Linked DNA regions of Mus musculus: all the other regions are reported to be linked to region 7. The links are microRNA targets in miRTarBase. Many come from high-throughput screens and were not tested one by one. Region 7 holds a microRNA gene; each other region holds the end of a gene's coding sequence.

Evidence for each region. Region 7 holds the annotated microRNA mmu-miR-467f (AUAUACACACACACACCUACA, at 1,102-1,122, opposite strand). A microRNA usually pairs through its seed, bases 2 to 8, with sites in the 3' UTR of a target mRNA and lowers its output. Matches are read on the target gene's strand: a 7mer-m8 pairs with bases 2 to 8, a 7mer-A1 pairs with bases 2 to 7 and ends in A, and an 8mer does both.
Region 1: miRTarBase lists Zfp516 as a target of mmu-miR-467f. Seed matches in the 3' UTR shown: 7mer-m8 at 1,655-1,661.
Region 2: the mRNA of Wbp1l is a reported target of mmu-miR-467f. The part of its 3' UTR that is shown has no 7-base or 8-base seed match.
Region 3: the mRNA of Trmt61a is a reported target of mmu-miR-467f. The part of its 3' UTR that is shown has no 7-base or 8-base seed match.
Region 4: the mRNA of Mfsd14a is a reported target of mmu-miR-467f. Seed matches in the 3' UTR shown: 7mer-m8 at 2,826-2,832.
Region 5: miRTarBase lists Fbxl17 as a target of mmu-miR-467f. The part of its 3' UTR that is shown has no 7-base or 8-base seed match.
Region 6: the mRNA of Kcng3 is a reported target of mmu-miR-467f. The part of its 3' UTR that is shown has no 7-base or 8-base seed match.

Annotation. Positions count from the first base shown.
Region 1 is chr18:83,000,202-83,004,796 of GRCm38, reverse strand. It overlaps Zfp516 (zinc finger protein 516), which reads right to left. Exons shown (of 6, transcript NM_183033.2): 6 at 1-3,524. The coding sequence ends at 3,465. Among named protein-coding and RNA genes, the nearest start is that of Gm41795, 8.7 kb to the left of the region's middle.
Region 2 is chr19:46,653,383-46,657,977 of GRCm38, forward strand. Wbp1l (WW domain binding protein 1 like) reads left to right here. Exons shown (of 5, transcript NM_001177812.1): 5 at 583-4,007. The coding sequence ends at 1,337. Among named protein-coding and RNA genes, the nearest start is that of Gm36602, 10 kb to the right of the region's middle.
Region 3 is chr12:111,681,687-111,686,281 of GRCm38, reverse strand. It overlaps Trmt61a (tRNA methyltransferase 61A), which reads right to left. Exons shown (of 4, transcript NM_001099793.1): 4 at 2,380-3,687. The coding sequence ends at 3,413. Among named protein-coding and RNA genes, the nearest start is that of Trmt61a, 5.9 kb to the right of the region's middle.
Region 4 is chr3:116,628,548-116,633,142 of GRCm38, forward strand. Mfsd14a (major facilitator superfamily domain containing 14A) reads right to left here. Exons shown (of 12, transcript NM_008246.2): 12 at 2,617-3,933. The coding sequence ends at 3,727. It overlaps Sass6 (SAS-6 centriolar assembly protein), which reads left to right. Exons shown (of 17, transcript NM_028349.3): 16 at 1-65; 17 at 161-2,439. The coding sequence ends at 267. Among named protein-coding and RNA genes, the nearest start is that of Trmt13, 16 kb to the left of the region's middle.
Region 5 is chr17:63,057,134-63,061,728 of GRCm38, reverse strand. Fbxl17 (F-box and leucine-rich repeat protein 17) reads left to right here. Exons shown (of 9, transcript NM_015794.1): 9 at 1,318-4,595. The coding sequence ends at 1,458. Among named protein-coding and RNA genes, the nearest start is that of Gm34324, 19 kb to the right of the region's middle.
Region 6 is chr17:83,584,422-83,589,016 of GRCm38, forward strand. Kcng3 (potassium voltage-gated channel, subfamily G, member 3) reads right to left here. Exons shown (of 2, transcript NM_153512.1): 2 at 1,536-3,958. The coding sequence ends at 3,313. Among named protein-coding and RNA genes, the nearest start is that of Gm34801, 19 kb to the left of the region's middle.
Region 7 is chr11:69,634,318-69,637,317 of GRCm38, forward strand. Mir467f (microRNA 467f) reads right to left here and starts at 1,202; the gene lies at 1,083-1,202. All of the region lies in intron 1 of Fxr2 (fragile X mental retardation, autosomal homolog 2), which reads left to right.

The DNA of each region.
Region 1 (4,595 bases), not on the chromosome of region 7:
CTCATCTTACAGGTCCTTCCTGGGGGACTGCAGGCACTGTTTGACCTGGAAGACACCCTCATCCACCCAGACAGGTGTCAACTCGACTGGTTCCCAGGAGGTGAAAAGGTCACTGCTGCCAGCCCTGTGATGCCCACGGTGGAACTGGTCACCTGTGGAGCATAAATGGAGAGCGACTCCAGTCCCAGCTGCAGAGAAGCCGTGGTGTGCACACAGCAGCCAAGGGGAAGGGGCATCCCTACAGCCCGCTGGGACAGCAGAGCTCTTTTACGTTGAAAGAGTTGCCTTGTGCCGCCTGGAACACCTTACTTCCAGAAACCAGTGTCTTCCTGGACTTAAAAAAATAAATAAGCAAATATTGGAGAAACTTTTTAAAATATCTAATACTTTTTAGAACCAAAAAGGCAAAGTCCACTTGACTTGGAAATTGTACTACGCGGGAGAGGCTAAACTGTCTCCACCTAAGACTGCATAGACTTCAAGAACCAGCAGAAGTGTGGAAAGGAGCAGTGAGCAACTCCCCAGAGGAGAAGAGTCCACAATGTATTTATTGTTCGTGAAGTTAAACCTTCATTCTGGGAATTAAGAATGAGTGAATCACCTGAAGTATTTGAGAAACTCTGTGTAATGTGTACTTGAAAGGAGGAAAAGCGTAAGAGAAGACACGTCACACAGTGAAGCAGGGGATGGTGGGGGCTGGGCTGGTGTGAGCCAGAGAGCGAGGCAGGAGTCAGAAGAGGGCAGCTGGAGAGGGCAGGGGACACACAGAGTGAGCGGCTGCAGTGTAGACAACCAAACCCTTTATTGTCTAAGTTACATTAGACGCAACACTGTAAAAACCCCGTCAGGAAACAAGGAGACAGAAGATGCAGAGAGGTAGGTAGGAGGTCCGTAACAGTCAGAGATGTGGAAATCACCACAGGAGGAGGGGCAAAGCAAAACAGATTGGCTAAATAAATAAGGAAACACAAATCATATTAAATACTATTGTTGAGCTGACATAGACAAATTAACAAACCAGTCCAATACTGATGGCCAGCGGGACAGAGAGACCATGCAGCAGGCCAGCACACAGCTGGTCCCAGGAGTGAGCGCTGGGGACCTCATGGCCTTGTGGCTACAGGAAAATTGTGCCTCTCTGTGCTTGGAGGGGCAGGTCATCCTGAGACTGGCTGCTCTCCAGGCAGGCAGACGGACCTCAGGCACCCGTCTTTCCCCGCCAGACCCTGGGAAGGAGACTCATGGGACAGACAGACCTTCCAGTTCTCAATGCCAAGTGCAGCCTCAGACACAGGAAAAACACAGACGACACCTTCGTGTCCCTTTGTGTACAGAACTGTTTAATAACTAAAACACAGAAATAGATGGGCCGAATCACAGGCTCTGACATTCCTAACTCTCACCTTCACTCTCAGCCAAGGGAACAAAAAGCCAGAGAGCGCAGAAATGATGGGGAACCTAGCAAAAAGAACAAACGCCGTCAACAGAAAGGTACTACGCTGCCTCAGGCGGAGAGAGGAATGTATCTCTACGACCTGCTCCTGCTCCAAGTAACGCCTCAGAATGATGGCTATTCCCAAGCGCTCCGACACGGCAAGCCGCTCTCATACAAACCTGCTGTAGGAGTATCAGGAAAAGTAAGTAAAAAAAATTATATACACACACACACACACACATATATATATATATATGTATATATGTGTGTATATATATATGTATATATATATATATATCTGCTAGCCAGTTAACATTGCATTGCTTGCAAGTGCAGCAGTCACCTGAACGGTCAAGTAATTAAAACAGTAACAAATAGAACCTGGAATCAAACATTAACTAACAATAACAACAACAATAATAATAATAATAATATAATAATAATAATAACAATCCAACAGATCATTAGAACAGAGAACCACGCGCCAGGGTTCGTGTATACATGTGTGTTTAAACAAGTCTTTGTATCAGAAGCCCATTTCCTACAAAAACCGCGCTGATCCATTACCGGGTTAAGTAAACTGTCGCTCTCACCAGTATTAAAGGTTAGGATAATTTCTGTACATGTAAAATTATTGCTTTTTTTTTTGAAAAATATATTTAGCATGCTCGTCTTAATCCATTTCCTGCCTTTACAAAATTTCACAATAAAAAAAAACTAGTAAAGCTTTTGCAAAAAATTTCACAGAACGTTTTCATTCAAGGCAGCGGTAATTCGTGATAATGCATAAAATCATATGTGCAAACATCTGGAACTTGCAGAAGTATCGCCATCACACACAGTGTCACAGCAACGGGGAAAGGAATCGCTGCTACCTGCGGAATACAGTTCCGACTGCGCACGTCGCGTGGGTTCGCAGCCTCTGCTCGGGCCTTCACCCCACCGCAGAAACGTGAACTTGCGTGACTAAGGAAGAGGTATATAAAGCCGTCTTCACCCTCAGGCCTGGCGACCCCCATTAATCTGTGAACAAAGTCACTCATCCGGTGGTGCTCACCAGGCCCAACGGGGAAAGACATCTATTTGCTGGGGTGGTGCAGGGGAAAGGGGGTGGGAGGAGGAGAGAGAAGGCTCCAGAGCACTAGCACCCTAAGGGTCTAGGGCCCCCAATCTGCTCAAGGGTTCCTCTGACATCACCAAAACAGGCCCAAATTGGGAGGACTCAGCGGTACTCTGTTAAGACATGGAGTCGCCTTCCGTGAGCAGTTTGCAGAATGTAGCCCTGTTACAAAAAAGGTCCTGAGAATAAAAAAGACACCTGCTCCTCTTAGTGTTCAACTAATGTTTCTTTCCCAAAGCAGATTTATATGTGTTCCCACCTCTGCAGTGTTTCCTGAGCCAGACGCAGCCCGGACGGTGAGGACGCAGCATGGCGGGGCATAAGCAGCTCAGAGGGTCAAGGCCAGACTCCAACCGTGAGGAGCTATCTCATTGCCCTGCCTCACCAAGCTCCTCTCCACAGCACTCGAACACCACCTGAACACCCCTCTGTCTCACCTTCTACTTTAAGTCCCCACTGAGGCGGCGGGGAGAGGCGGTAGTGCAGCCCCCTCCGCTCCCCACATCCTGACAGCATCATCTCTGTCCTACGCACTGGACCTCCCCACAGTGCTGTCCACTTCTTCCAAACACACCAGTATCTTTTTTCCAGTGTCTCATGCCTGTCTTGAGTAATCCAGACTCCTTGAGCTCCCACTGTGCCTGCCAATGCCACTGCTTATCCCGAGGAGACACAGGCCATGGGTGATGAGCACATACATGTGTGTGAAAGAGCTACACGGAATTCTAGGCATAGCATCTTTGCTGTCCCTGGGTCTGCTCTACCGCAATGGCCCCCGAGTCTGACGTATCAGGTCAGGAGGCCCTGGATCTTCTTCCCCAAAGCGGCCATGGTCACTGCTGGAGCCTTCCAGCCGCCCGTGAGGCCACAGTCAACACTGTCACGGGGCCGGGCGCTGGAGGTGTGTCTCTAGATCCCCTTTCGGAGGGGCCCTGCTGGCACAGTCCCTGGGGTAGTATGGTCTCTCCCCTGCAAAAGAAAGAAAATAACAGGCAAGTTCAGTTGGCTTCTAGTCTCAAGGCATTTGCCCTATTCATTTTCTTAGCAACACCCAGAGACAAAAGGTGCAACGAAGCCCTCTGATTCAGGGCGGCTCGGTTTATTCCAGCATCGAGGGATTTGCTTTCACTGCCTTCACAGGAACAGCTCAAAAAACCATCCTCGGGGCTCAGAAAGCATTGCAGGCTCCGGAGAGCAAATAGCAATGGTAGGCTTGGCTCTGCTCAGAGGCTAAAAAGCAGCCAAACAGGAAGAATGGGGGTTTGAAGAGCACAGGTCTGGGGTACAGAGCAGACTCGGGTGAACATTATTCCTAAGGGCAAAGCTGGATTCACATAAACAGAACAGCCCCTGGCACCCACATCCATCTGAGGGAATCTGAGAGTGCTTCCCTCCATTTTCCCAAACAGGTCCCACACGGAAGAAGTGGAAGAGCTGTGCGTTAAGTCATGTGAGCTGTAGAGTATTGCTGAGTGACAGGGTGCACTGGTGTTTGAACAATGTCGTCTCCCAGCTGAGGACAAAACAACGTGCCAGGATGAATCTCTCCTAACACCATCAACCTAGCTAAAATCCTATAGAAATGAAACCAACATGCATTCATAAGCCACACAGCCCATAGGAGACTCTAGTCTCCAGCTAGGTCTATGGGAACCCTAGGAACACACGGGAAGGGAAGCTGGTTGGCATGGTGAATTTAATGTTTCTCTTTAGTTTCAGAAAAGTATTAAAAGCTGGTCTCACACACAATGCCTACTGGTTAACACACAGCATAAATCAGAAATATTCTTAAAGAATGTGTCTGAGAGGCAGTGCTGCCAGTGGCTGGTCTGAAGGACTGGAAGCGGCATTTAAAGAAGTAACAAACTCAGGCAGATGGTGACCCTCCTGGTACAGACCAGGAGAGATGTCTAGGTAGATGGTGAACCCCCTGCTGTAGACCAGGAGGGATGTCTGACACCACTGCACACCAATGTTGCATGGCAGAGATCTCGGTGGAGAGCCAGAAGCAGCACACCTCGAGGATACTAGTTCTAGGTG
Region 2 (4,595 bases), not on the chromosome of region 7:
GAAAAGGACAGATAAGAAGGGTAGTGTCTGGACTGTCTGAGAACCAAGAAACTTGGTGACTTAGTGGAAATCCGTACACTGGAATTCCCTCCCCTGTCCTCTCAGGAGATCCAGGGATGCCCAACCAGGCATCTCGTCTTAAGCCATCTGTCACATTGTACAGATTGTGATGTGACAAGCGTTTGCCCTTCCCTAGCTGGAAGGCTTTGTAGTAAATGCTCAATAAACGTTAGCAGCTGCTGCACAGCTCTAAGCGAGGTGATCCGCCCCAAGGTACTGAGCGCATGCAGTCAGGAGGGGTCTCACCTGGCATGTTTTCAGTGAACCTTGGTGTCACAGGCTCCTCACTCCTCCTTGACTGGTGATCAAAGCTCACCACAGCATGAGGAACTGTGTTGAGGGCTCACAGCATAAGGAAGGTTGAGAACCGCTGCTCTAAGCTGTTGCAGTCCCCTTACCTGCCCACAGCTAAGAAGCATAGCCACCATGGCTCTGGGGTGGGAGGGGACAGTGTCACCTTTCATGAGCTTTGTTAGAGTGCTGACCCATGTGGTAATTTCTTCTCCCACCTGCCTGTTTTAGGGTTTTTGCCAAACTCTTTGCTACCTCCTTATGAGGAAGTGGTGAACCGACCTCCAACTCCTCCCCCACCGTACAGTGCCTTCCAGCTCCAACAGCAGCAGCAGCTGCTGCCACCTCCTCCTCAGGGTGGCCCTCCAGGTGGCAGCCCCCCAGGCGCTGACCCGCCGCCCCAGGGCTCCCAGGGAGCGCAGAGCAGTCCTTTGTCCGGACCGAGCCGAAGCAGCACAAGACCTCCAAGTGTCGCAGATCCTCAGTCCCCTGAAGTGCCCACTGACCGGGAAGCCACCAAAGCCTCTGGGACGGAGTCTGGTAGCCCCATGGCCGGCCACGGGGAGCTGGACCCGGGCGCCTTCCTGGACCAGGATTCCGAGTGCAAGGAGGAGCTACTGAAAGATTCGCGTTCTGAGCGTGGCGGCGTGTCCCCTGACAGTGAAGACAAGACCCCCGGCAGGCATCGCCGCTTCACAGGTGACTCAGGCATTGAGGTGTGTGTGTGCAACCGGGGCCACCATGACGATGACCTCAAAGAGTTTAACACGCTCATAGATGATGCTCTGGACGGGCCCCTGGACTTCTGTGACAGCTGTCATGTACGGCCTCCTGTTGATGAAGAGGAAGGTCTCTGCCTGTCCTCGGAGGGTCAGGCTCGGGAGCATGGGCACCCCCACCTGCCACGGCCGCCTGCGTGTCTGCTGCTAAACACCATCAATGAGCAGGACTCTCCAAATTCCCAGCACAGTGGCTCCCCGAGCTAGGACACGCCCTGCCTGCACCTAGGAGCTCAACGACAACCAGGGTCAGGGACACCCACGAGAGAAGCATTAAGTAACATGGACATGTGGCCCGGCCACTTTGTCCTCTTATATTTTTTCCCCCTCCTATCCCACCTTGCCCACATCTCCAGGTACAAATTCAGGGTGTGGATGCCTCCTCTCCCCACAAAAGCACAGTGTTCTAGAAGACGGAGAAGCTGCTTCTGTGACTCCCGCACCCCCCTTTCAGAGCTGTGTCCCACCTACCTGCCTGGCTGAGAAACACAAGTTTGCAAAGCCCCCCCGAGGACTGGGGCTGGACTGTGCCCTAAGGTGGTGCTCAGCGGTGACAGAGTGGATTCACGAGAGAACCGTGTCTCAGTCTAGGAGACACCACTTCTCAGAGAGAAGAAGAAAACCCTCAGAGGCCAGTGGATTGTCACTGTGGCTGCCAGTGGCTGCAGAGCACTGGTCTAACCCTGTGGGAGGGTGACAGCTAGTCAGGGTGGTGAGGGACTTGCTGAGCTGACAAGGCCCAGGCAGAAAGTACACATCTGTGCGTTGTAGAGGGGACCCTTCCCAGCCTGGTTCAGGTGTAGATGATACTACGTTCTCTGGGTTTTCCTTTAAAAACAAGCAACAAAGGCTGGCAGGAAACAGCCAGACCAGTGGGCAGGCAGGGACTCTTTGTTACAAGGGAATTCTGCTGCTTCTCCCCAGGCTGAGTTCCCAAGAGTCTGACTACCATTGGGCCAGGAGGAGAGAGCCTGAACAGGCCCGGTGGTGGGAGCCTTGGGCCTTCTGTTGAGTGGAGACCCAAGTCTGAAGGCTGGGAGAGCTAAGAGCTTCCTTCAGTTCCGCCCTTTGTCCGTGCCCACAGGTGGTCAGTGGTCCTCGCCCCTCCTGAACACAGCCTGCGGTCTCTGTCTCCCTGTCCTCTGTAAGCAGATGGACTGAGGAAGTTGTGTGTTCAGGGCAAGGTGGCCTCATAGCCTGGTTCTCACACAGTATTTCCTGTTGCGTTTGACTTAAGTCTGTTGTTTTGTGTCCTTGTTTGTTTTAAACTGACCACTTAGAAGGAGCGCCTTGGTTACCTGTGGTTCTCGTGGCTGCTCTGCCCCAGCCTTGTGGAGAAACATGACTCACTTTCCTGTACAGCCTGTGTAAAAGAGTCACCTGGGTAGGAGGTGACCACTGCCTCCAGCAGACCTCGGGGCCTGGTTACTGTCGTCTGGCTCCGGAGACCCGGTCATGCTTTGTCAGGAAAGAGGAGCAGAGACGCCGCTGAGAGGAACATTCCCCACCCAGCCCTGCTCATGCAAAGAGTTTGGTTCCTACCCTGCTCTTGAACGATGATGCATAGACTAGACTTGGCGCCACCATTATGGTGAGAAAGGAATAAAAAGGCAGAAAACCCAAGTCCACATGTAAACACACAGACCCGAGGCTGTAAGGTGAACGCGTGTCTGCATTTGGATACCACAAACCAAAATCTTTGTCGAACAAAAGTGAAGTCTACACAGTGATGTTGGATGGCGTGTGTGTGTGTGTGTGTGTGTGTGTGTGTGTGTGTGTGTGTGTGTGTGTGTGTGGTATGTGTGGTATGTGTGGTACGTGTGGTATGTGGCCCCGAGCCCTGTGTTTTCTGTGAAGATACTTTGAATGGCCATTCTGCTCACACATTAACCACATGCCTGGAGCACGTATGGCCCTCTCAAAGTAATTTATTTTACACATTTACTGTTTACCGAACAATAGTCTGACCGTACTCGGGTGTATGCAGCGATCTCCCCGACGGCATGGCCTGTGTTTGCCAGCGACACTGCCCTTCAGAGAGGCTGCTTCCTCAGCTCACCACTGCGATTTGCACACTGCTCCATGGGCACTCAGAGGCCTCCATTCTGTTCCCTGTGCGTGGAAACATCCGGACCCAGCCCCCCTCCCGCTGGCTTCAGACAGGAGCTTGATTGGGTCTTGAGTTACAAGCATGAAGTGGTTGTGGCCCAGACATCGGCCTGTCCTGGATCAACAGGAGTCTCTGGCCACATGCACAGCTCATCCCCCAAGATCCAGAGAGAGAGAGAGAGGGCTGGTGTGTGGTCAGAGGGGCCCGAGCTGCAGCCCTCCTGCACTTCCCAGCTGATAGCTTGTTAAAATCCCAGACACCTCACTGCAGTGTCTCAGAGGAGAGTTCAGTTTCCCAAAATGAACCCCTCGTTAGTTAACTGTTGGTGAGATGGGACCCTCTCAAGTTTTGTTCCCCTGGCAGAGTGAGGGGCTGGCCTGAGTGCCGACTAGCTTTACTGAAGCACCCACCATGATGCCCGAGCCACAGTCTGGCCCTGCTGCTGTAGGCCACCCTGATGCTCAGAGAGAGGACAGGAAAAGTGAGTTAGAGGCCAGGGAGACTTGACTGAGTTGGGTTTCTAGGTAGGAAGGGTTAGGCAGAGGGCTTGGTGCTACGGTCAGATTTGCAGCCGCTAACACATTCCTGTGTGAGGCCACCACCGTCTGCCAGTTATTGTGAATATGTGTATTTTAAGCAATAAGATTCAGTTGCTCAGACTGCCCTGAGCGGTCTGGGTGACGATATCCTGTGATTGTCCGGAAGACAGAGTGGCTCCAACCACTGTGAGAAACCCCAATAAAATCAGTCTCAAGTGTTCTACACAATCTCCTGCCGCTCCTTGTTCCCTTTCCTTCCTTCTCAGACTTTCAGGTCACAAACCTCAAGCACCTTTGCCTTCTCCCTACCAAGACCTAATGGTGTCACACAGCAGTTAAGAACGGGGTCCTGGGCCAGCAGGAGGCTGCTGCTGAGTCAGCACTTGGTCCTGAGGAATTTCCCTCAAAATCCATTTCTATTAAGTACTTTGTGATATTCCAGAAATACATTGGAAAAGGAAAAAAAAAAAAAGGCCCCAGGAAGCAGAGACAAGTTTGTTTGTTTGTTTGTTTTTTTACCCCTCCCAGTTTCCCCAAATCAGGATTGGTTTTAGAGCTTTTTAAATTTTTTATTTTTTTTTTTATTTTTTTATTATTAGTGTGGGTGTTTTTGCCTGCATGTGACTGTGTAACATGTGCATGCAGTACTCATGAGGGCCAGCAGAGGGCATCATCTGGAACTGAAGTTACAGAGAGCTATCATGTGGGTGCTGGGGATTGAACCCAGGTCCTCTGCAAAAACAAGTGCTCTGGCCCCGATTTTAGGAACTTTTCAGATAGGGTCTCACTCTAGCCCTGACTTTCCAGGAACTTAAC
Region 3 (4,595 bases), not on the chromosome of region 7:
CCAGACATTCCTATGGCCTCATGCGCTCAGGTCTGAAGGAGGCCCCTACCCTCCCTAAGGAGTCTTATTCAACTGACCTAGCAAGAGCATCCTAGGCTGGCCGTAAGTCCACAGGACGTTCACCAGCCCACCCCTGTGGCTTCCGGTGTAAAAGCTAAGTGAGTCTTCTTTCTCCACCTGGGTGGCATTTCCAGCAGTGGGCCGGAAGCACTTCTTTCTCCCTGTTGCTGGAGTCCCTGGCAGCCTGCCTGTCCCAGGATGAAGGCTAGGCTGAGGCAGAAAGAGGCAACTGTGCAATGGTCAGGAGGGGAGAAGAGGACACAGCTTCAAGGTCAAGTTCCAAGAGACCTAGACAATGTAAGAGGCAGAGGTGTCCCTAGCCACCCTTGTACTACCCATTCTTCACCCAGAGACACAATACTAGATCCCAATGCCCTTGCTGGAAAACCCTCAAACACAGGGCAGCATATTTTGAGGCCTGGGCACAGCTCACAGGCGGCTCGGAGGAAGTCTGTCTGAGGAAGCTGATCACCCTGGCCCAGGAGCCTTCCAGCAGGTGAACCAGGGTCTGCACCTAGAGGTGCATTCAGGGCTTCCCGGGGCTTGGCGCTGCAGAGCAGACTCTTGCCAAGGAGGCTGAGAGGTGTGCTGCTGTCCTGGTCACAATGCAGGTTGTGACCCAGGAAAATATCTAAGGGAAAACTGAGGGCCAGTGACAGGAGTCAGGCTGGAAGGGGAGTTTCCAGGATCTTGCCCCATGATGAGTCCCGAGCCTCTGAGTCAGGTGCACCCAGGATCAGTTAACTGAACTCAACAACCATGGCTTCAGGGCTACTTTAGGAGCCAGGCTCAGTCTGAAGGACCTGGGGACCTAGCCTCTCCTTTGCCCTGGGGGCTCCTGCTGAGGTAACTAACCCTCAGCAGATCAGTGCAGGGTACAGAGGATGGCTGAGCTGAAGGCTCCTGTCTGAGAGTGGGCAGCAGTCTGGGAAAGCAGTCAAGAGGAGATGGTTTAGCCAGGCAGACAGCAGATCTGAGTTCAAGGCTAGCCAGAGTTTTGGTTTTTCGAAACAGGGTTTCTCTGTGTAGCCCTGGCTGTCCTGGAACTCACTCTGTAGACCAGGCTGGCCTCGAACTCAGAAATCCACCTGCTTCTGCCTCCCTAGTGCTGGGATTAAAGGCGTGGGCCATCACTGCTCGGCTAGCTTTTTTTTTTTTTTAAGGCTAGCCAGTTTTATAGATCAAGTTCCTGGTCAGTCAGGACTACACAGAGAATACCCCACCTCAAAAACTAACTAATGAAGGAGTGAACGAATAAAGAGGATGGGGCTGGAGAGGTGGCTCAGCGGTTAAGAGCACTGGCTGCTCTGCCAGAGGTCCTGAGTTCAATTCCCAGCAACCATATGGTGGCTCACAACCATCTGTAATAAGATCTGAAGCCCTCTTCTGGTGTGTCTGAAGACAGCTATTGAGTACTCACATGGAATAGATGAATATTAAAAAAAAAAAAAAAAGAATAAGGAGGATGATTTGAGCAGAGCTGTAGAGACACAAAGGCTTGCAGGTAAGTCCAGGGCCAGGTGGCCCTCCAGCTGTGGTTGGACTTAGAGGTAAACTAGGGTTGGATAGACTCTCCAAGGCTGAGACTATGAAAGCTAGAATTTGGTTATCCCAAGGGACAGTAAGTAGATTGTTTTTTTTCCAGACTTGGCCAGGGTCCCTTCTGCAGGACATCTAGCCAGTGAGACCCATATGGAAGACATAACCTGGGCCTTCCTGGCTATACGGCCCGTGTGTCCCACAACTGAGCAAGCTCTGTCCCACAGTAATGCTGTCCCTTGACCTTTACCTGTTGGCCAGAAGCCCTTCCCCAAGGACAGAGAGCCAGGATTGCTCAGGCCAGGCCAGGTAGCAGGGTGCCCAGATCATCCACTTACAACCCTTTGCAGGTCCTGGTACTGAAGGCACCCACTCTATGTTGCACATGCGTGGGGCCTCACCTCAGTCCTTTAGGCTAGGCATGTTAGAGCTGAGAGCAAGTCCTGGAGGGAGGGTAAGCCCTGGAACAGGGTTGGTGGTCCTAGGGAGCCGGAACAGCTCTGAGGGCACACGACCTCTAGGACCTCCAGTTGCCATTACACTGAGAACAGACAGCCTGGGAAGCCAACCCCAGGAACTCAAGTTAGGTTCTCATAGGAATGTGGGAAGGAGCCCAGGACATGCCTTTGTGAAGAGTCCTGTGGTGTTGTTCTAGAGGTCAGAAACGCCATAGTACCTACTGAGGGCAGAGAGAAAAGGACAGAAGTCAGGAAGGCACGTGTGGAGCAGCGGGCCTGGGCCACTGCTGAAGGACAGCCCTTGTGGGAACAAGACAATAAGCACAGTGGGGAAAATATTTATTATCCTTTGGGTGCCCTCGGGTATGACATATGACAGTAGGACACTGGTGAGTCTCGCGATGGCTGCTTCCACGCAGCAGCAGCAGCTGACTGGCAGCCTCACACCAAGATGATCTGAGCACCGAGCACTGAAACTCCCTTGAAGCTAGCCACATACCGAGAATGGACACCAGGCCAAGGTGACACATGTGGCAAGTCCACAGCCAGGCTCTTAGCCCATGCACAGGCTCCTCTATGATCCGCTTTGACCCCAGCTCCAACAAGGACTGGAAGGTCACGGAAGCAGGGACCAATCCTGCTGTGTTCTATCCCTCAGGATGATGCCTAACCCCAGATGACAGCACACCAGCACACCAGGAACTCCACACACACACACACACACACACACACACACACACACACACACACACACACACACACACACACACACACACGGTCGTGCTGACACACACGTGGCCTGTGCAGCACATGATTATTGATTATCATCACCTCCTTTGTTCCTGGGCCAGCCTGGTCCCTCCATCAGCCTTAGGGAAGTATAGGGAGAGGAGGGCAGGGCTGGGCTTTCTGGTTAATTTAGCTCAACCACAGCTTCTGGCTAAGCTCTGGAGCACCAGGGCCTGGAGACTTGCGCCAGGGATGGGACAACCCACGCTCCCGTAGGTCAGCCCAGGCTATAGGCAGTGCCCAAAGCTTCCGACGCCCTCAACTTTTACCATTTAGTCTCAAAACCCAGGAAGGACTATGGAGAGGAAAGACTCATGTTGACAACAAAGAGCCAGGACAGAGCTTGCGCTGAGCAGTGATGAAGTGGAGACTTCCCTCTCAGAAGACAGGAATGCCTCCCAGCTGAGCAGGGCCAGCCTACTCACCCCCCTCAGCCACCCAGGAGGCCCCTGCCCCACCCCGCCCCCATCTCTTTCTAAACACAAGCCACGAGGGCAGTGGCTGACCATATAAGGCAGCCTCTGGCCTCCCTGCCTGCTTGCCTGTGCTGTTCATTTGGAGGCCTGCTAGCCTGGGGTTTTAGTGGCAAAAGTCAGGTAGCCAGTGTGGCCCACAGTCTCCTTCATGGGTGTGCCACTACGGAAGGGGCTGGCATCAGAGCCCATGTTGGTCTCTAAGTTGTTGGCCCCCAGGTCGGGCAAGGGCAGACTGACAGTGCGCACATTGTAGACCTGTGGCAGTACCTCCAGGGTGCTAAGCTCTGTGAAGCCATGGGCTGCCAGCGCCTGGCATGTCCGCTGCACCTGCTCAATGCACGGAGAGAAGGAGCAGAAACGCCCACCTGCAGGAGCAAGACAGGGGTCAGAGGGTAGTGTAGTGGCATCCACAACCCACCCTGGACCTGAGGCTGGCTCAAGACTGACTGCAGACTGTAAGCCCTCAGACCAAGTCGCAATGCAAGGGCCTCGGGAAGCTATACATTTTTGCCCTACCTGCTGGGCCACCCTTGGGCAGAAGTCCGGGTCAGTAGCGAGGCCCAAGACTGAGATGCCCAGGTCTCCCTGCCAGTAGGCATCATCATCCTGCCTTGTAGGAGGCAGTGGAGGGCTGGGGGGTGGGGGGGTCAGGGCTGTCAGAGCCAGTCCCAAGAATAGCTCTAACAATAGGGCAACATGGGGCGGTGTGTGGGTTGCTGCTGTCACAGAAAATTAGAGGCTGTCGTTGGCTCTTGGGAACAGGAGGAGCCTACAGCAAGCACATTTGGAGCTCCTCCCTGCTGCCTCCCACGGGGGCAGCTTACAGGCTTTACTCAGCCTGCCCCCAAACTATGAAAGTGCCCATGAGCAAGCCACGGCAGAGATGCAGTGTGTACACAAGTCCCTAGGCCTGGGACCCAGAGCGCTCCCTGACACAGGGATGAGACAGGATAGAGTCCGCTGTCACTAAACAGCAAATCACACCATATACTCCTTGCCAGAGGCCACTAGAGATAGAGCGTGTTACAAAACACCAAGCCTACAAAAAAAAACAAAACAAAACAAAACAGAAAAACACCTCACACTGAAGGACCCAGAGAATGAAGATCTGGGGAAGAGCCCAGGAGAGGCAGACATGGGTCATGGGACCAAAACAAGGCAGAGGTGCCTCTGACTACTTTGTAAGGAGGCGCCCCTGCCTGGCTTGGCCCTTACCAAGGCTGGACTGACCCTGCATCAGGGAACTTCAGGTGGAGACCTCCAGGCTTCCCCT
Region 4 (4,595 bases), not on the chromosome of region 7:
CTTGAAGAGAAGAGAAGCTAGCATTCCTTTACGCGGACTTAGCCAGAATCTGTTGAGTGACTCAGGTGAGGAGACCTGTGACTGAGTGAGTGGAGTGGTACAGTGTGGATCATTACATGTGCTTAAAGCAGTGACATGCTACGTGCTTTGTCTCTTGCAGACCATCAGAAAGACGGCATGCTGGGAGCGTTCCAGCTATCTTCCAAACCCACCGTTCTCCCCTCCTCGTCTTCAGCCTACTTCCCTGGGCAGTTACCAAGTAGTTAATCCAACACCTTTTACTGCTCACCGACAGTTTAGGAATTCAAGTGATTTAACAGACTATTGATAACAAAATCAATTTTTTTCTGGTTCCTGTTAGGTCATTTGGATCCTTTATAATACTGCTGCCATTTACAAATTTAGGAAATTGATAAGGATGCTGAGTAAATGGTATTTTTTTTTCTGTGAACAAAACAGAATGTTTCAAAAAGTCACTGGATTGTATCAGATTCTTACCAGTTGGTCTGCTTAGGGACACTTTATCAAGATACACCTGCAGGGAATATAAACTGAAGACTTGTGATTCATTCGATCATTTTTATTGTAAAAAAAAAAAAATCTTAATCTGCCACCTGAGAGCTGGGAGAGCTTCCACCTGTGACCATTGAGCCTTACATTGACTTTACATTCAGTTCTCATACAACTTTCAAAGTTTTTTTTTTTTTTTTTTTTTTGAGACAGGGTCTATTATTATGTAGTTCAAGCTGTCCTGGAACTGGCTATGTATGTAGACCAGGCTGGCCTCAAACCCAGATCCACCTGCCTCTGTGTCCCAAGACCTAGGACTAAAGCTGTGTACCCACCAAGCCTGAGTTACACAATATATTTGGTTTATAATTTCTCCTCCCAGATGGTCTCCAGTTTCCTACCCACCCAATTTTATGTTCTTTCTCCCTTAAAAAAGAAAATAAAAATAACCAATCAGTAAGATAAAAATATCAAACCAGCCGGGCAGTGGTGGCGCACGCCTTTAATCCCAGCACTCGGGAGGCAGAGGCAGGCGGATTTCTGAGTTGGAGGCCAGCCTGGTCTACAGAGTGAGTTCCAGGACAGCCAGGGCTGTACAGAGAGACCCTGTCTCGAACCCCCTTCCCCCCCCCCAAAAAAAAAATCAAACCCAAAACAGTGTATTCGACCTTGTGCTAGTCAAGTCCTGGGTATGGGCATTTGGAGTTTGGTTGATGTACCTAGTGACACTCTTAAGGATTTTGAGTGAAATTAAGTATTCATAGTGAGTAAATCATTTTCTCTGAAATAATTTTTATATAAAAATCATTGGGACAGTGTATTTACATGACTGAAGTGCTTTAGTCATCTGGGCATTCCATAAAGATCATCAGTGTAATAACACCATAAAAGTTCATGGGACTTTTTATAATATTAAAATTTGTCATCAGTGTTAATAAAGCAGGAGGAGAGTTAACTATTGGAAATTACAACTTCCTCACTATTAAAAACTTCCAAGAACTATTCCTTTGAAATTAAGTAGTTTTAAAAAACAAAATGAAACAAAAAACCAAAAACAACCCTCTATAATCTTAGAGGTCTAATTTTGTTTTCTTGTTGACAACCACCCAAAGGAAATTAAAATTCCAAGACCCCAAAAATCTTATCTGTAAAATGTTAACAATCATGTGATATTTTAAGTTTCAAGGGGCTGAAGAGATGGCTTAGTGATGATCGGCACTAGCTACTCTTTTCAGAGGATGTGGGTTCTAATCCCAGCACCCACATGACAGCTCACAATTTTGTCACCCAGAGTGCATCAGGCATGCATGTGGTTTCTAGGCAAAACATTTATACACATTTTTTTTCAAGTACTTTACACTGTTGCAGACATTTTGAGACAGTGACGTAGAATCTTTAGCCTCACTTTCAGGATGATGGCTATTGCTAGCTGTCTTCAACGAGGGCTGTTATCACAGTTCAGTGATGGGAAGAATATTGCTATAACTACTTGAAAGCACTTATTCTGGAAAGAAGTCTCTCTATGCAGCACAGGACTGTTGTAAATACTATAGAATAAACCTAAGAGCTATGGCAGCCTTTGGAAAGGGATACAAGACATATATAGCTTTTTAGAAGAGATACCCTCCCCTTACTATTTATAAACCTGTTTCCACGATAGGACAGCTCATTTCCACGCAGGGTGTTGGTGACCTGTCTCTGTGCTAAGTGTCCACACACACAGATAGCGCCAACTCTCTGCTCTACCTCTTCTGCTTTTGTCTGAAATTGTTTTGTGTTGTATAACTGTACATGTGTTAACCATCAGAATGTTGCTTTTTGCTATTTCTGAAAGCTGTGACCTTTGTCAATAAAGCACTGAGGCTTGAGCGTTTTATATGCAAGAAGCATGTTTAGGAAATAAAAGACTAACTGTGCTTAGGAAATCAAGCATTTCCGGTTGACCTACACACTTCGTTATTTTTATCTTCAGGCTTTTTGTTTTGTTTTTGGTGAGGTGAGGTGAGGGCAGCAAATGGATTGCAGAAGGTAAGTTAAGGTAAGAGGATTTGTTACTGTAACAAAGCCTAAACCGGCCTTACAGGGAGGGACTCACAGATCAAGACCTTTTTAAAAAGAAAAAAATCATTAAAATATTTAATTTTATTAACAGAATATTTACATTTGAGACCTTATTTAATCATAGTGAATGCTCCAAGTTTAAAAAGCATTAGGCAGTAACCACACACAAGATGAAAACAGTGTAAACTATACAATACTTTATGTACATTTTTACAAAGTAACACTTTTTTAAATAATATAACTGGACACAAAAATATACACTTTAGAGAAATTCACATCAGTAATTGTATAAAGCTCTCTTCTAGGGTCCTGAAAATTTAGGACAAACATTAGCTCTGTAAATAAAGTGTTACTGTGACAGTCCTGAAAGGCCACTATATATATTTATCTACATATAGATATCACATTGACATTTTCAAGGCTACCAGCTTTACTATATAATTTTTAGATTATGTATTCAAGTGTTGAGGTCCTTATGATTATGCAAATATCAAAAGAATAGTGGTATAAGAAGCAGAACAGATTTAAACAGATTGAGCCAGATGGCTAGGCTCTGACCACCCCAATTTGAATTCTAAGTGGCTGATCTTTTCATTCTTCAGAACAGCCGTGAATAATGCTTTAAATAAAATTATGGCAAACAAGCTTGAAACATGATTCTGGTTTTCTACAATTTTCACAAGTTCTTTTAAATGCAAACAATTCTTTACCATTTCTTTTCTAGTGCATCTGCATTAAGGCTTTGAATTATTTGACCCAAGATTTTACAATGACTCAGGTTTTACAAGGTTAAAGCAAACAGGTCCATAACCATCCTGCCTAGTGTCGCTGAGTCAGCACGAGCAGGTAAAGGCTCAACACCTAAGGAAATGGCAGAGACGGAGTTACAGATAGAGCTTTAATTAAAGATGTGTAATAAAACAGTTTAGTGGCAAGAGAGTGGTGCTAATATAAACAAAAGGTTTCTTTTTGAAAGAAAGTGTAACATCTTTGGAAAACTGTCCGGTTCTTTCTTTAGTTCCCACGGAGTTCATGCAAGTATTTCTTAAGACAGTCTTAAAGTACACTGCAGATGGAAATGGAATGTACATCCAGAGCTACAGGTGAAAACTAAGACCTGGGTGCTGCGAGAGAGAGAAGTCTTCCTGATTTCCGTCACACATTCGTGTCCTGGAGTAAAGGTTCTTTGGCCTCTCCTGGCGCTTGTGTACTGTGAGGATGGCTGTGACTGCCACAGTGCTTCCTCCAACTGCTGGACCTTAAACTTAAATTAGTGTGTTCCGGAATAAACAAGGCAACGAGCAGAGCCAGCAGTACCGAACAGGCTCCAAAGAGGAAAGGGGGACCAGGGATGATGGAATTCTGAGGAAGAAACAATAGTTAATGTTTTTTGCACAAATACTCCCCCCAGCCCCCGTCCCCAGCCTCCAATGTCTCAGCAACTGTCTGCTCAGATTTTCTTTTTTTTTTTTTAAAGTCAATGCCTTTATTGAAGCAATAGCTATAAAATCACTTTTCAGGAGAAAAGGTATTTTTATTCTTATTGTAAAATCCTGCCAACAAAAAAATGGCAAAGTGGGCTGGAAAGATAGTTCAGTGGTTAAGAGCGCTGACTGCTCTTCCAGAGGTCCTGAGTTCAATTACAGGCAACCACATGGTGGCTAACAACCATCTGTAATGGGATCTGATGCCCTCTTCTGGTGTGTCTGAGGACAACAATGTGTACTCAAACCTTTAAAAACAAAAATCAAAAACTGGCAAAGTAACTTGGATAACTGTGGGTGGCTTTTAGCACAGAGCCTAAACTACACATGTTAATAATACACCTGTAGAATCGTGTTTCAAAAATAAATACAATGCCACTAACCACAAAAATAAAACATTTTAGCCCAAATCATATTCATTGTGGGCAAAACCCTACAGAAACCCTGTTTCTGTTGTATATGGCCCACAAAATTAAATAGGCTTGCCTGGGGTTCAATTCTTGCTTAATCGAGAAAACTGCAGAGATGTTAGTATTGGCT
Region 5 (4,595 bases), not on the chromosome of region 7:
GGAACAAACACATCATAACTAGAGATACTTCTTGACAGCTGGCCATGGGAGTTCACAGCTGTAATCCAGGTCTTGGGAGATCTTAGTATCATGTGCTCAGTGTCAGCCTGGATATTTATCAAGACCTTGTCCTAAACCTTAAATGTCACCAGTACAATGTGACAATGGCAATTCTCACTATTGAACAAAAATGAAAGACAACCTAACTTTCAAATCACATAATTAGAAAAGTGCAGAAACCCAAACTTGATGATCATTAGACTTATCAGCAGGCTTTCAGCACAAACAGCCAGGCCTTCTGACTTGATTGGCTTGCTTTTGTTTTTTTAGGGTTTTTTTTTTTTAAAGGTGGTGCTGTTGGTTTTCAATAATGAACATTAAGAGGGATGCTTAAAAATGTCTACCACAAATACCTTCGTTCAGCCTTAACTCAGTATAGCTTACACAGTACAAATAAAATATTGATGTATTCAAAAATGCCCAAGTGTTCAATAAAGATTTTAAGTAAAGCTACCTATAAGTTGTGGTTCTTAGGTTAATCATTTATTTATCTAAAGGATGAAGGAAGCTGTCTATCTCTGTGATATGAACGGCAATCAGCTTAAAAATAATTGACAAATTAATCCCTTCACAGCACAGCAATTGTAAAGGTGTTAGTTTTAATTAGGCCTGTCTGATTGCCTTGTCTAATCGGGAATCAAGGTGGACTCTTTGATGGCTAAGGTCTGCTGGGGCCATCCCTGACCTGCCAGCCATGTATGCTTTAATTATTGATTCCTCGAATTTCAGCCCTTCTCACACAGGGCCTGAGGTTTGCAATGTCTTAACATTTAAAGGGAAGAAAAATAAACATTTTCCTTTGCACTTCTATCTAGAATCCTGTGTATCTCCACCCCCACCCCCACCCCAATGTACAGTGTCCAGCCTAAAAAGGCTTTTCCATGGGTGAAGAAGTCAGAGATACAGGAGATGCTCCTACTGCGTTCTTCCTCCCATTTTCTGTGTTCTTAATGGGCATTACTGCGATCTTGGTAAATCCCAGTCATTTAGTCATTTATGTTTAGCAGGTACATTTGATTTCATGACATCATGTTTAATTAAAAATCCATACGGGCAGTGCAATTCTAGAGTATCAGAGAAGTCAGACCAGAGGAAAAATGCACGCGCTCAGCAAATCCTTGGTCATGTTGCTAAGTGGAAAGGAAAGGGAGAGCTGTTGTTCCCTGGCACGTCGCATGCCCCACAGCACCCCTGTGAGCACAGGCTGCATGGTGTTGGTGGCCCCTGTGTCTGATGATGACTCTTCTCTGCTCACAGGTCAATGAATTGACAGTGGAGCAGCTGGTGCAGCAGTACCCGCACATCACCTTCAGCACCGTTCTGCAGGACTGCAAGAGGACCTTGGAGAGAGCCTACCAGATGGGCTGGACCCCCAATATGTCCGCTGCCACCTCCTAACTCTCTTCCTATGCCCAGGTCTACTCAGGCCGGTTCAGCAGAATGGAGAAATGGGGGGCTCCAATAGGGGGTCTTTCGGAAAGGTTTTAACCGTCACCTGTCAGTGTGTGTACCCGAGTGTTCCGTTTGTGTCTTGTTTGCATTCTGCATAGCATAAGCGCACTGTTACTTACCCCAAGGTGAGCTGGCTTGTTTTCCCTAAAACAGAAGATTATGAAAACCAGGACCTTTTTGTTTTTTGTTTTGTTTTCCAATTCAAACGTCTATTTCTCTAAAAAGACTTTGTGGAATCTCAAGTCAGAAAACTGGTTGTATAGTTTTGAGCTTTTAAGTTCTGACACATCTCGGAAATGCTCGCAGAAAGGCTTTGTTCGGTGATAGGTAGGCTACTTGTACGCTTCTGAGAAGACCAAAACAGAAGTGATGTTGCTCTAACTAGAAGCCTGGAGACTAGAACCCCTCAAAATCCTGGAGTACACAGCTAAAGTTCCACTCTCTTGTACTGTCATACACACATGCTAGGTCAGGTTCTCGCTTGGTAAATTCTTTCCTGCCAGAGGAACCTTCCTGGGTCATGAAGAGAGCATGCCTTCCACTGTGGCTATGCCTAACGTACTGTGCCCAGTGGTGGACAACTTGCTGTCTTATAGGTAACTTAGGAAGTAGACTGAATAAAGCCTTTTGTAAATTTGTATATGGAGGCAACAGTCTGATGTCCCCTGGCCAGCTCACAAAAGTTAATTATTCATTATTCTGTAAATGCATTCTGTTAAGTAATAAATATTTTAGTTGGTTTTGCATTAACACTGTGTTCGCTTTTACTGTGTGGACAGTTACTGGTCAAGATGCATTTTAGTGACATTTGGGGCTAATCTTGGCATTATTCACATTGAAGCCATGAATGTAATTAATGGTGTGCAGTTATTTTAAAAATTTTACAGATCATTTCATTATTTTGGTAATTATGAAAATATATTCTGAGGTGGGGTAGTTATTGATAGAAGATTAATGAATGAGATGTATGTAGACAATCTTCCTATTGTATTTTTTTCCTTTGCTTTGGGATTGAGAACAGGTTTTTTGAATATATGCATGTTATAATTTTAAATAGTTCTTACACTACTGCAAAGATCTACTGTTAGCTAACGTATGAGCTAAGGAGAGAATTTAGAAAATCTGTTCATTAAGATTCTGTTTACACTTGCCAGAAATACATATTTTAGTTTAATTAAGTATTACCAGCTTTTACTTCTGTCAGTACCTATCAGGAAAGGAGTGTAAGTTTTGATGTCACACATTTCTACAGTCAGCCGTTGCAGGGACTCAGGCTCAGATGACCTCTCCTATGTCTGGATTTATAAGCAGGCAGCAGGGAGCCTTTTTAAGCTAAAGAGTGATTATCTTTCGTAGTAGGAAAAGCAAAACCTTGACTTTTGAACTTGCTATTTATTCTCCCTGTATGTGGTCTTTGGTCTTTAACAATTATAATGAGGTTTGAGTTTGTTTCCTATAAATCCCAGCCCTGCGGAAGCAATGCTAGCTGTAGGAGGCAGAAGCTGCCTTCCATTTGCACACCATGCACGTGTGTGTAACAACTCCTTCTCTGTAGAAAAGGTTTGTTTCCCTCCAGTTTGTCAACATGCTTCTGATGTGGCAGTTTATTGTTTTAATCCCAATCAGTTAAAAAACAAAAAGTACCTTTTTCATAACCAAATAGGAGATTTTATGTGACATATGTATTATTACATCATTACCATAGGAACCAAAGTCTAGTCCCATGGATGTTATTTCCTCTTCCATTTTAATTGAGTCATGAACATGTACCAAAACCAGCTGGCAATATGACAGTCATTGCGACTGAAGGGTCAGTTGGAGTCAGGCCTACTATGACTATCGGTAAATAGGAGGTTTTTCCTCTTGGGCACTATGCTTAGAAGATTAACTCAGCTCTCCTGCGGGATGTTTAATACACGCATTGCCGCTACATGGGACTCTTCAGTCACCAAAACGCAGCCATCTGCAGGAACATATTCCCAAACTAAAACCATATCTAAGATCCTTCAGCGCCCAGTCCTGTGATCTCCCTTGGCTAATAACGAACTGTAAGGATGCCAGCAGCTCATGAAGAAAGGGAGACTTCCAAAAGAGCCTGCGTTGTTTGATTCAGCTGTTTTATTCACAACAGGATGGAAGAGACAGTCATGCATTTCTGAAAGTTTTTCCACAGTTTGGCATCACTTGAAAGATCTGGAGATGAGAAGCATTGATGGAAAGTGGCCCGAGGACACAGGGCAGGCTGATGCTCGCTCACTAACTCTTCTGTAGCCTGAGATCTCCTCAGCCTGTGCCTTGTGCATGCATGCGCGCCCACATGCCCAAATGCACCATTCAGCCAGAAAAGATGACTACAGAACGCAGTCTGTTCAACTTTGTGATTAATATAATAGAAGATGGAAAAACGAGTCACTAAATAAAGACTTGTTAAACCTAACAGTCTCACAAATAGATGCTGCCCAAGTAAGTCTGCGTGGCTCCAGACAATGGTGATTTTTTTTTAAAAAAGGAAGACATTATACCAAATGAATGTAGACTGCCCAGAAATCTTGATTTTTGTTGACAAGAAATGTTTTTGCTGTATTTCTAAGCAGCATCTTGCAATGGAGTCACTTACTAATGGGTGGGGTTAAAAACATCTTGCTAATTATATTCAAATGAAGTCTTTATTATACTGTTTCTTCAATTCTAAATAAAAAAAAATGGATTACAATACAGGCTTCATGGATGTAGGGAGACAAATACTGAGAGGCACTCTTGGAGATAACAAATAATTGAGCTGAATGTGAAAATTAAGCCACCAGCACCTTCATTCCTAGATAAGACAGATGACTGGATCTGCTCTAAAGCAAACCATAAATCTGGAAGAAAGCTTGCCTTGGAGTAAATTTGTACAAATGAATATATAGGCCACTCCAACTCCCTTTCTTCATGGTTACTGTTGCATTTACCACCCCACTTTTCCTTCAGCTTCACTCCTGAGTCAGCCAGAAGCTAGAGCCAGTGAGACGCTGGCAGATGACCTCACACACAGGCTTTGCAAGGTCAAAGGTAGCGGTGCCAGGGAAATATAATGAACCAAT
Region 6 (4,595 bases), not on the chromosome of region 7:
CGCACACATGTATGCATATGCACACGTGTACTATAAACACATAAAATAAATAAATGTACTTTAAAAAAAGAATATTTTGACATACCGACAGCTACTATGAATGAATCGATTTTAACATTTTAAAATAAGAATTTGCAAATGTGCAATCACATGTAACCCCAAGAATAAACAGACGTGTGTAAACCAGCAACTCAATAACAGTAATAAAAAAAATAAATCAATAAAGGGGGTTTGGGGAGCATTGGGCATGGTGGCACATGCCTTTAATCCCAGTATTTGGGAGGCAGAGAAAGGTGGATCTCTGAGTTCAAGGCCAGTCTGGTATCTAGAGCAGGTCCAGGACAGCCAGGGATACACTGAGAACTCCTGTCTCAAACAACAAAAAAAAAAAGAATTTATTAAGTTATACACTCAGTTTTACAAATGCTCTCTAACTTTGTTTCCCTATCTTCCTACTCTCTTGTTTCAGAGAATACGAATCAAGTCATGTGTAAGAGGAAGGGATCAGATTCGCTCAAACAAAGTACACTCAAAAGAAAGATTCGGGCGTCCTTCCCTCTTCGGTGTTCTGAGGATAGCTGGCTCCCTGGGGTGGGGGTGGGAGAGCATTTCTGCCATGAAGACCAGAGTGTGAAGACTGATAAAGTGCATCTCAGAAGGAGGCTCCACCTCAGCAATTTAAAAAGTATCATTTCTGTGGGGTGTGTGTGTGTGTGTGTGTGTGTGTGTGTGTGTGCTATCTGTGTAAAAGTGCCGTGCAGAAGCTCACAGAGACCAGAAGAGGGCATCAGATCCCCAGGGTCTGGAGTTCTCAACAGTTGTGAGCTAACATGTGGGTGATGAGAACTAACTCCAGTGTTCTACAAGAACTGGAAGTGCTCTTAAACACTGAGCCATCTGTCCTAGGGTTTTGTTTTTTAGAGCAGCTGGGTGTTGTAACTTGTATCTGTAATTCTAGCACTTGGGAGGCACGAGGCAGGAGGAGTGTCACAAGTTTACGGTCAGCTTTATCTACACAGCAGAGACCCTTAACAAACAAACAAACACAACACCAAAATAAGCAAATATATACAATGAAATGAAATTAGTAACATTCAGAGAAAGCTGGAAAAAAAAAAAAAAAGTCTGCTCCTAGGAAGCTCCAGCATCCTAAAGGACAAAACACGCTGTTGTATTTTCTCATTTACAAACGAACCCGTTCATCATGTCTCATCCCCTTGTTTACAGGACGCTCACTGCTGTTACCAACACCCAAGATGCTTCTCAATGAAAGCCAGCCCCCATGAACAGACCAGCATCATCACTTGCTACCTCAAAGCAACTCAGAGCTCGCGTGGCTTCCCACGTGTGGCTCTCCATGCGCACGTTCACACGTGTCTGTCTCCTCGTCTACCTCAGGCCCCTCTGTAACGGACACTGTGAGGACCTGGTGACCTGTGTGTGCCCTCGAGGGTCCCAGCTCAGTGGAGTACTAAGTTGCTTGGAGATGGAATCCATATTCACATGGAGAGTCTCTCAGTGCCAGAAAAATTAAAGGCTACCATATCCTTACTAATAATATAGATGAGCTATCATTTGCATACGATTTGCATAAATCACAAAGCTTAAAAATAAATAACACCAGGCCATATGTTCAGTTAAAATGAAACAAAAAGTATATATAAATAACAATCTAGTGTGTAAAACTATACCAGTGAAGGTACTAGGAAAAAAATGGTGAGGTTTTTATTTTTAATGGGCAGTATCACATGAATTTGCTATTATTGCCTGATCATGGCAACGAGAATGAAATGTGGCCTATGCTAGTTTCTGCCAAAGCTAGAGGCGTGTGCAGAGCAAACTGCTGGGCCTGCTTAAAGGAGGCTAAGTTTCCAGCGCCAACTGCACAGTCACCGCACGCTCTCGTGCCTTGGTTTTTCTACCCGTAATGATAAAAGCTGGACTGATGGCTAAGATTCCTTTAATGGACACTTCTGGCGAGTCTTTCTTTGAAAAGGTTATCCCAGTCCCTAACCCGTTCCCTTCAACCCTGATAACCACAGTGCGTATACTAAAGTGTTCATGAATCAGTAACTCTGATGTGTGTGTGTGTGTGGGGGGGTGTTCAAGTGTTATTATGACTTATTGAAAAAGCAATATTTTCATTCATACTGCAGAAACGTAGCAGTGAACAGCCAGCACTTTTGCACACCAGCACTCTGGACGGAGTAGCAGTGTCTGATAACTTTACAAAAAGAGACCCAGTGTATCCGTGCTTCACAATGGTGAGGAGTCAGGCCAGAGAACTACATCTGCCCTGCTTAGCAACACCGGACCAAGACAACAACATTTCTCCTTTTACAACAGCCTAGTGACAGCGCGTAAGTATGGCTGTTGTGCCGACAAAAAGCTCAAGAAGTATCGTCTCTTCTTTACGAGCCTTGTGGTTCTAAAGAAGAAGAGCTTCAGCCGAGAACTCCGGGTCGAACCCTGAAATATCACAGCACTTCTCTCGTCATTTCATGTTAGCAATGCTCCTGGCAATCTGAATGCTAGGACTCTGAGTCACGGCAACTGACTCTAAATCACCCAACAGAGCGCTAAACAACACAAGGTCTCTCCGTGATATCATGTACTCTTTGGAAGTTATTTCAGTAAAGTGGGGGCCTAACTGGAAAGAGAAAACACACTTCAGGGTCCATAAAGTTGTAAGATAAGAGAAGTGACAGGTGTAAAAATTAAGCCAAGGGTAGGCTAGAGAAGGGTGCAAAGCTTTTCAAATAATATTTTTGCTTGCCTCTAGTTCCGCAATACAGTTTAAATTTGGGCCAACTTTTTAAAGTATTTGTTAAACAGTTCCCACATGTGGCATATGTTTCCAGGATACTTCTGACATTGATATGAGAAATTATAAAACATTTAGAAACGAAAATGTTAGTCTCAAAAATAACACTGTTAAGTTCCAAGCTTCTTCTGAATTCGTTAAGATGGAAAAGCATTTGGAAAATAGTGTCTTTCTGCTTTAAAGTGTTCAAATAATGTGCTTAAGAACAGCCTACAACATCGTAACTGTGCGAGGCAAGGTGGAGGGAGACGAGAGGGAATAAAACCAGGTCCTAGCATCTCCTCTGGTGCTACTGTCCTGTGTGTCCCGGTCCCGGTCCTGCCTACTCCGTAAGTAAACCGCTTTAACCCTTGAGTTGGGAAGAATCATGTCACCCTTCCAACAGGAGGACAACACCATTGCAGTGCTCACCCAGGGAGAAACACGCGAAGAAGAACTAGTGTCAACTCGACCAGATGAAGTGTGCACAAGGACTGGTTTGCAACACGTTAATTCAGGAACTCAGCTGAGAGGCTCCTACTATATCTAGCCGATCTAAACTTGAGCTCGTGGTAGCACTGCACAAAGCTATGGTAGATGAAAGTGATGGGTAATGCCAACAGAACAATCCCACTGACAACACAAACTCCTCCAAGAATTCTTCCAGGCACCGTGATAGGATACATATCTCCATAGCCAACTGTAGTCATAGAGATAATCACCCACCAGCAGGCAGCGGGGATGCTGGCGAAATCCTTGTTGGATGTTTCCAGGTCCAGCCCATGTTCAAGGAGCTGAGAGAGTGCACTAAAGATTGCCATGGCAACACAGATGAAGACAAGTAACATAGCCATCTCTCGGTAGCATCGCTTGAGAGTCAAGCCCAGTGTCTGCAGACCAATGAAGTGCCGGGCAAGCTTGATCACCCAGAAGATCCGCATCATTCGGAGGACCCTCAAGGTGACCCCAGCCCTCTGGAGTTGAGAGTTCTCGCCTGTAAACACTGTCATTAGCACAGAGATGTAATAGGGCGTGATTGCCAGTAAGTCAATGATGTTCAGGGGTCTCTTGACAAACTCACACTTGTTTTTGGAGACGATGAACCGCACGATGCACTCCGCGGTGAACCACCCTATGCAGATAGCTTCAATTATCCTGTCAAGAGAACAAAGAGGAGGATTGATCATTTTATTTTTAAGCATTTTAATAGCTCTTTGGATTCTTCAGATAGTACTACACTGACATATTAATTCAGTCACAGTTCCAGAAAACATGAAGAACAGACAGTGTTAACATCACCAGAGCCACCAGGACGCAACGGGACAATAAGGACTCATGTTAAGGTGGTAACTGAATCCCAAAAGGGTCTTAAACATTAGCCTATATGAGATACTGTTAAATATGAGTAGCCCCCTCCCCTCAAAACTGTCCTATTTAGTGGTGTGAATTTAGCTCAAGCTGATCTAACCACAAAGTAAGGTTTCACATATTCTTTGAGGACAGTGGTTCCCAACCATGAGTTTACAGTGGAGGGTGGGACAGAAGGGTTGTGTTCCTACGAGGTGAAACAAGTCCTGAAATGTGACTCCTCTCTACCCTGCAGTAGGCCTGTGTGGGAGGCGCTGTGGTTGGGGGAAGCTTTAGAAACTGCATGGATGGATGCCCACTGCAGGGGAGTATCAGGCCCACTTCCCTCAGCCATGAAAACAGGCTAAGGATGCCTGGGCTGGACCAAACCATTACTGCCATCTTTCCCCAAAGACCACAACTACTTGGTTTGTTACTTTCACAA
Region 7 (3,000 bases):
ACAAGATCCCCTCCCTGGCTGCACTTGAACTCTTCCTCAGCCTAGGATTACAGCTCTGGCGTTACTGGTTGAGCCACCATGCCAGACCAGACTTTTGTTTTTTCCTTCTTTCTATCCACCACCCACCCCATCTTCTGTATCTGTCCTGAGTCTATTCTGGATCCCACGCCCCAGATATTTTCTTCTTCTGATCAGTGGGGTTCTGAACATCTTTTGACTTTTATGAGTGGAATTGTCCCGGACACGTTTGGTCCCTCTCTTACTCTTCATCCTGGAGAGAAAGAGGAATTTCCATAGCATGAGATGGGTGAGAAGAGCCCCTTTTTCTTCAGGTTTCCTCAGGTTGTCTGTCCCCCTACCCTAGTAGAACTTCTACTTTCTTATGCCCTTGGAAATAACTTTCTCTGACTCTACTATGAAATTGTATCTTTTTTGTAGCTGAAAAAAGACTTAGGTTTGCCCTACCCCTGTAGATGGTTCCTACCCTCACTTCAACTGATATGCTAGTTATCCATTATAAAGGCCAGGCCATTTTTTTCCCTTTTCTGATCAAGTTCTTTACCCAGTGCCTATGGGTGCACATACCTATTAGCTTTAATGCAGCTTCTCAACTAAGTCTCGGTCTTTTTAGCTTGGTATTTCTGTATTCCTGTGTATCCTTGATGATGTCTACCTGTCTAGTCTGTGTATAGCTGAAGAAGGCTCCTAGCTGATTCTGTCACTTTCCTAACTCTTGGTACTTTTTCTTCAGACCAGAACAGTGTCTCTAACATTTCTGTTTTCTGTAGCAAAAGTCTTTAATTCTTTTGGCTTCTGAGAGGACACATTAATGTTTTAATATCTATTTCACCCACATTTGTATTACCTTTGTTAAAACAGTCTCCTCAGGCTGGGTATGGTGGTACATACTCTAACCCTAGTACTTAGAAGGCTAAAGTAGGATTGTTGAAGTTCAAAACCAGCATGGGGAATGGAATCCAGTCTAAAACAACCCAAACAAACCCAAAAAGTACTCTTTATTATGCTCTCTTTTCCTCGATATGTTAGTCTTCATCTGTATCCTTCTAACATCAAAATGTTAAAAATTCCAAAAAAGCTGTGTGTAGGTGTGTGTGTGTATATACATACATACACACACACACACCTACACACACACCCACCCCCGTTCGATTTCTGGGTACAGGATTTCTCTATGTAGCCGTGGCTGCCCTGAACTCAAACTCTGTGGGATAGGTCTGCCTTTGTTGAGTGCTGGGATTAAAAGCATCCACAACTACTCTTAGTTTGAAAAGTGGTTCTTAAATTGAGTATGAGATCAAGATAAGATATTTGCATTTGGTTTAAGGAAGCTCAGGAGCCATGCACAGCTGGGACAGATGAGTGCTCAGTTCCAATTAACTGTATGACATGGTTGGGCTGGGACATGAATTCTGTTACACATATGGGTATCCAACAGAAAGTCTCTCTTTTATCCTTTTATTCTGTGGGCCAGAGCAGTGATAGATTTGAGGGAAGCAGGGACAGGATTCTTTGATAGTATAGAGTTAATAAAAGCCAAATATTGAGTGTAGATTTTGTATTCTGGCCACTTCAGCACTTTCTGCTCCATGACTGAGTTAAAGACATTGCCTAAGTGTAATGTAGATACTTACCTATTCAAACCTTGCTGATTAATATTTATGACTCAGCAAACTTTGGTGTGAGTAAGGGATACTAACTTTTTAGATCTTTTACGTTTGGGGAGATTCTTTTCTCCTCTCACAAAACTGTTTTACTGTGATTTTTCTAGAGCCAGTAAATATCAGATCTGAGGTCTAAGTTATTTTAGAATTATCCTATCAAACTTGGCTTTTCTGTCAGGATGTGATGTGTTTTGTTAAGGTGGTTTCAGGTGGCTTGGGCTTTTAACCCGGGATGACCTTGGACTCCTGGTTTACTGTGGCCTTTCCTAAGACCTGGGATTACAGGTGCACACCATCAACCCCAGCTTCATAATGTGTTTTGTTTTGTTTTTGTTTGTTTTTTGAAACAAGGTTTTTCTGTGTAGCCCTGGCTGTCCTGTAACTCATTCTGTAGACCAGGCTAGCCTCAAACTCAGAAACCCGCCTGCCTCTGTCTTTTGTTGTTTTTTTTTGGGGTGGGGGGCAGGATATCCTGTGTTGCCCTGGAACTCACTCTGTAGGCTAGGCTGGCCTTGGAAGGTTTAGGCCACCACCAACCTGTTAAGATGGGGTCTTATTGTATAGCCTTGCTTTGTTGATAAGGCTAACCTTGAACTTGAGGTCTCATCTTAGCCTTCCACTGAAGTACATCCTCAGCCAGGTAGCCCTCCTCCGATCTCTTCCTTCTTTCTTCCTTTCCCTTTCCCTTCCTCCCTTCTTTCATTTTTAAAAACATTTCTCCCCATATAGAGACAGGATTTTTATACTTTGATAGCTCAGGTTACTCTGAAACTTAGCACGTAGCCTAAGCTGACCTCCAATTCTTAGACCCTCCTGCCTCAGGCTCCCCCCAAACAGCCAAAGCAGGTCGTATCTGAAGCAATATTCAGGGTTAGATGTTCTCATTATAAGGAAAGAATAGTTTTGTAAGTGGTGACTGGCCAGGTCTGTGAGGTGGGAACTCTGTATTCTCTAGAATATTATTGGTACATTTTCTCCTAAGCTCTGCCACTATCCTAGTTACTGTACTTAGGGCTGGTCCTTGAATATTGTTAGCCTTTTTTTTGAAGCATCTGGCTTTCTTACTGCTTTTGATGTTGAGGATTGAAATCAGGGCTTTATACTTGCTAGGCACACATCACACGGAACTATATTCTAGCCAAACCCCCCTTATCTAATCTATCTAGTGTTTTTTTTTTTTTTTTTTTTTTTTTCTTCCAGAATAGGGTTTCTCTGTAGCCCTGGCTGTCCTGGAACTCACTCTGTAGACCATGCTGGCTTGGTTAGAGATCTGCCTGCCTCTGCGTGTTGGGATTAAAAAAACCACCACCTGGCAGCT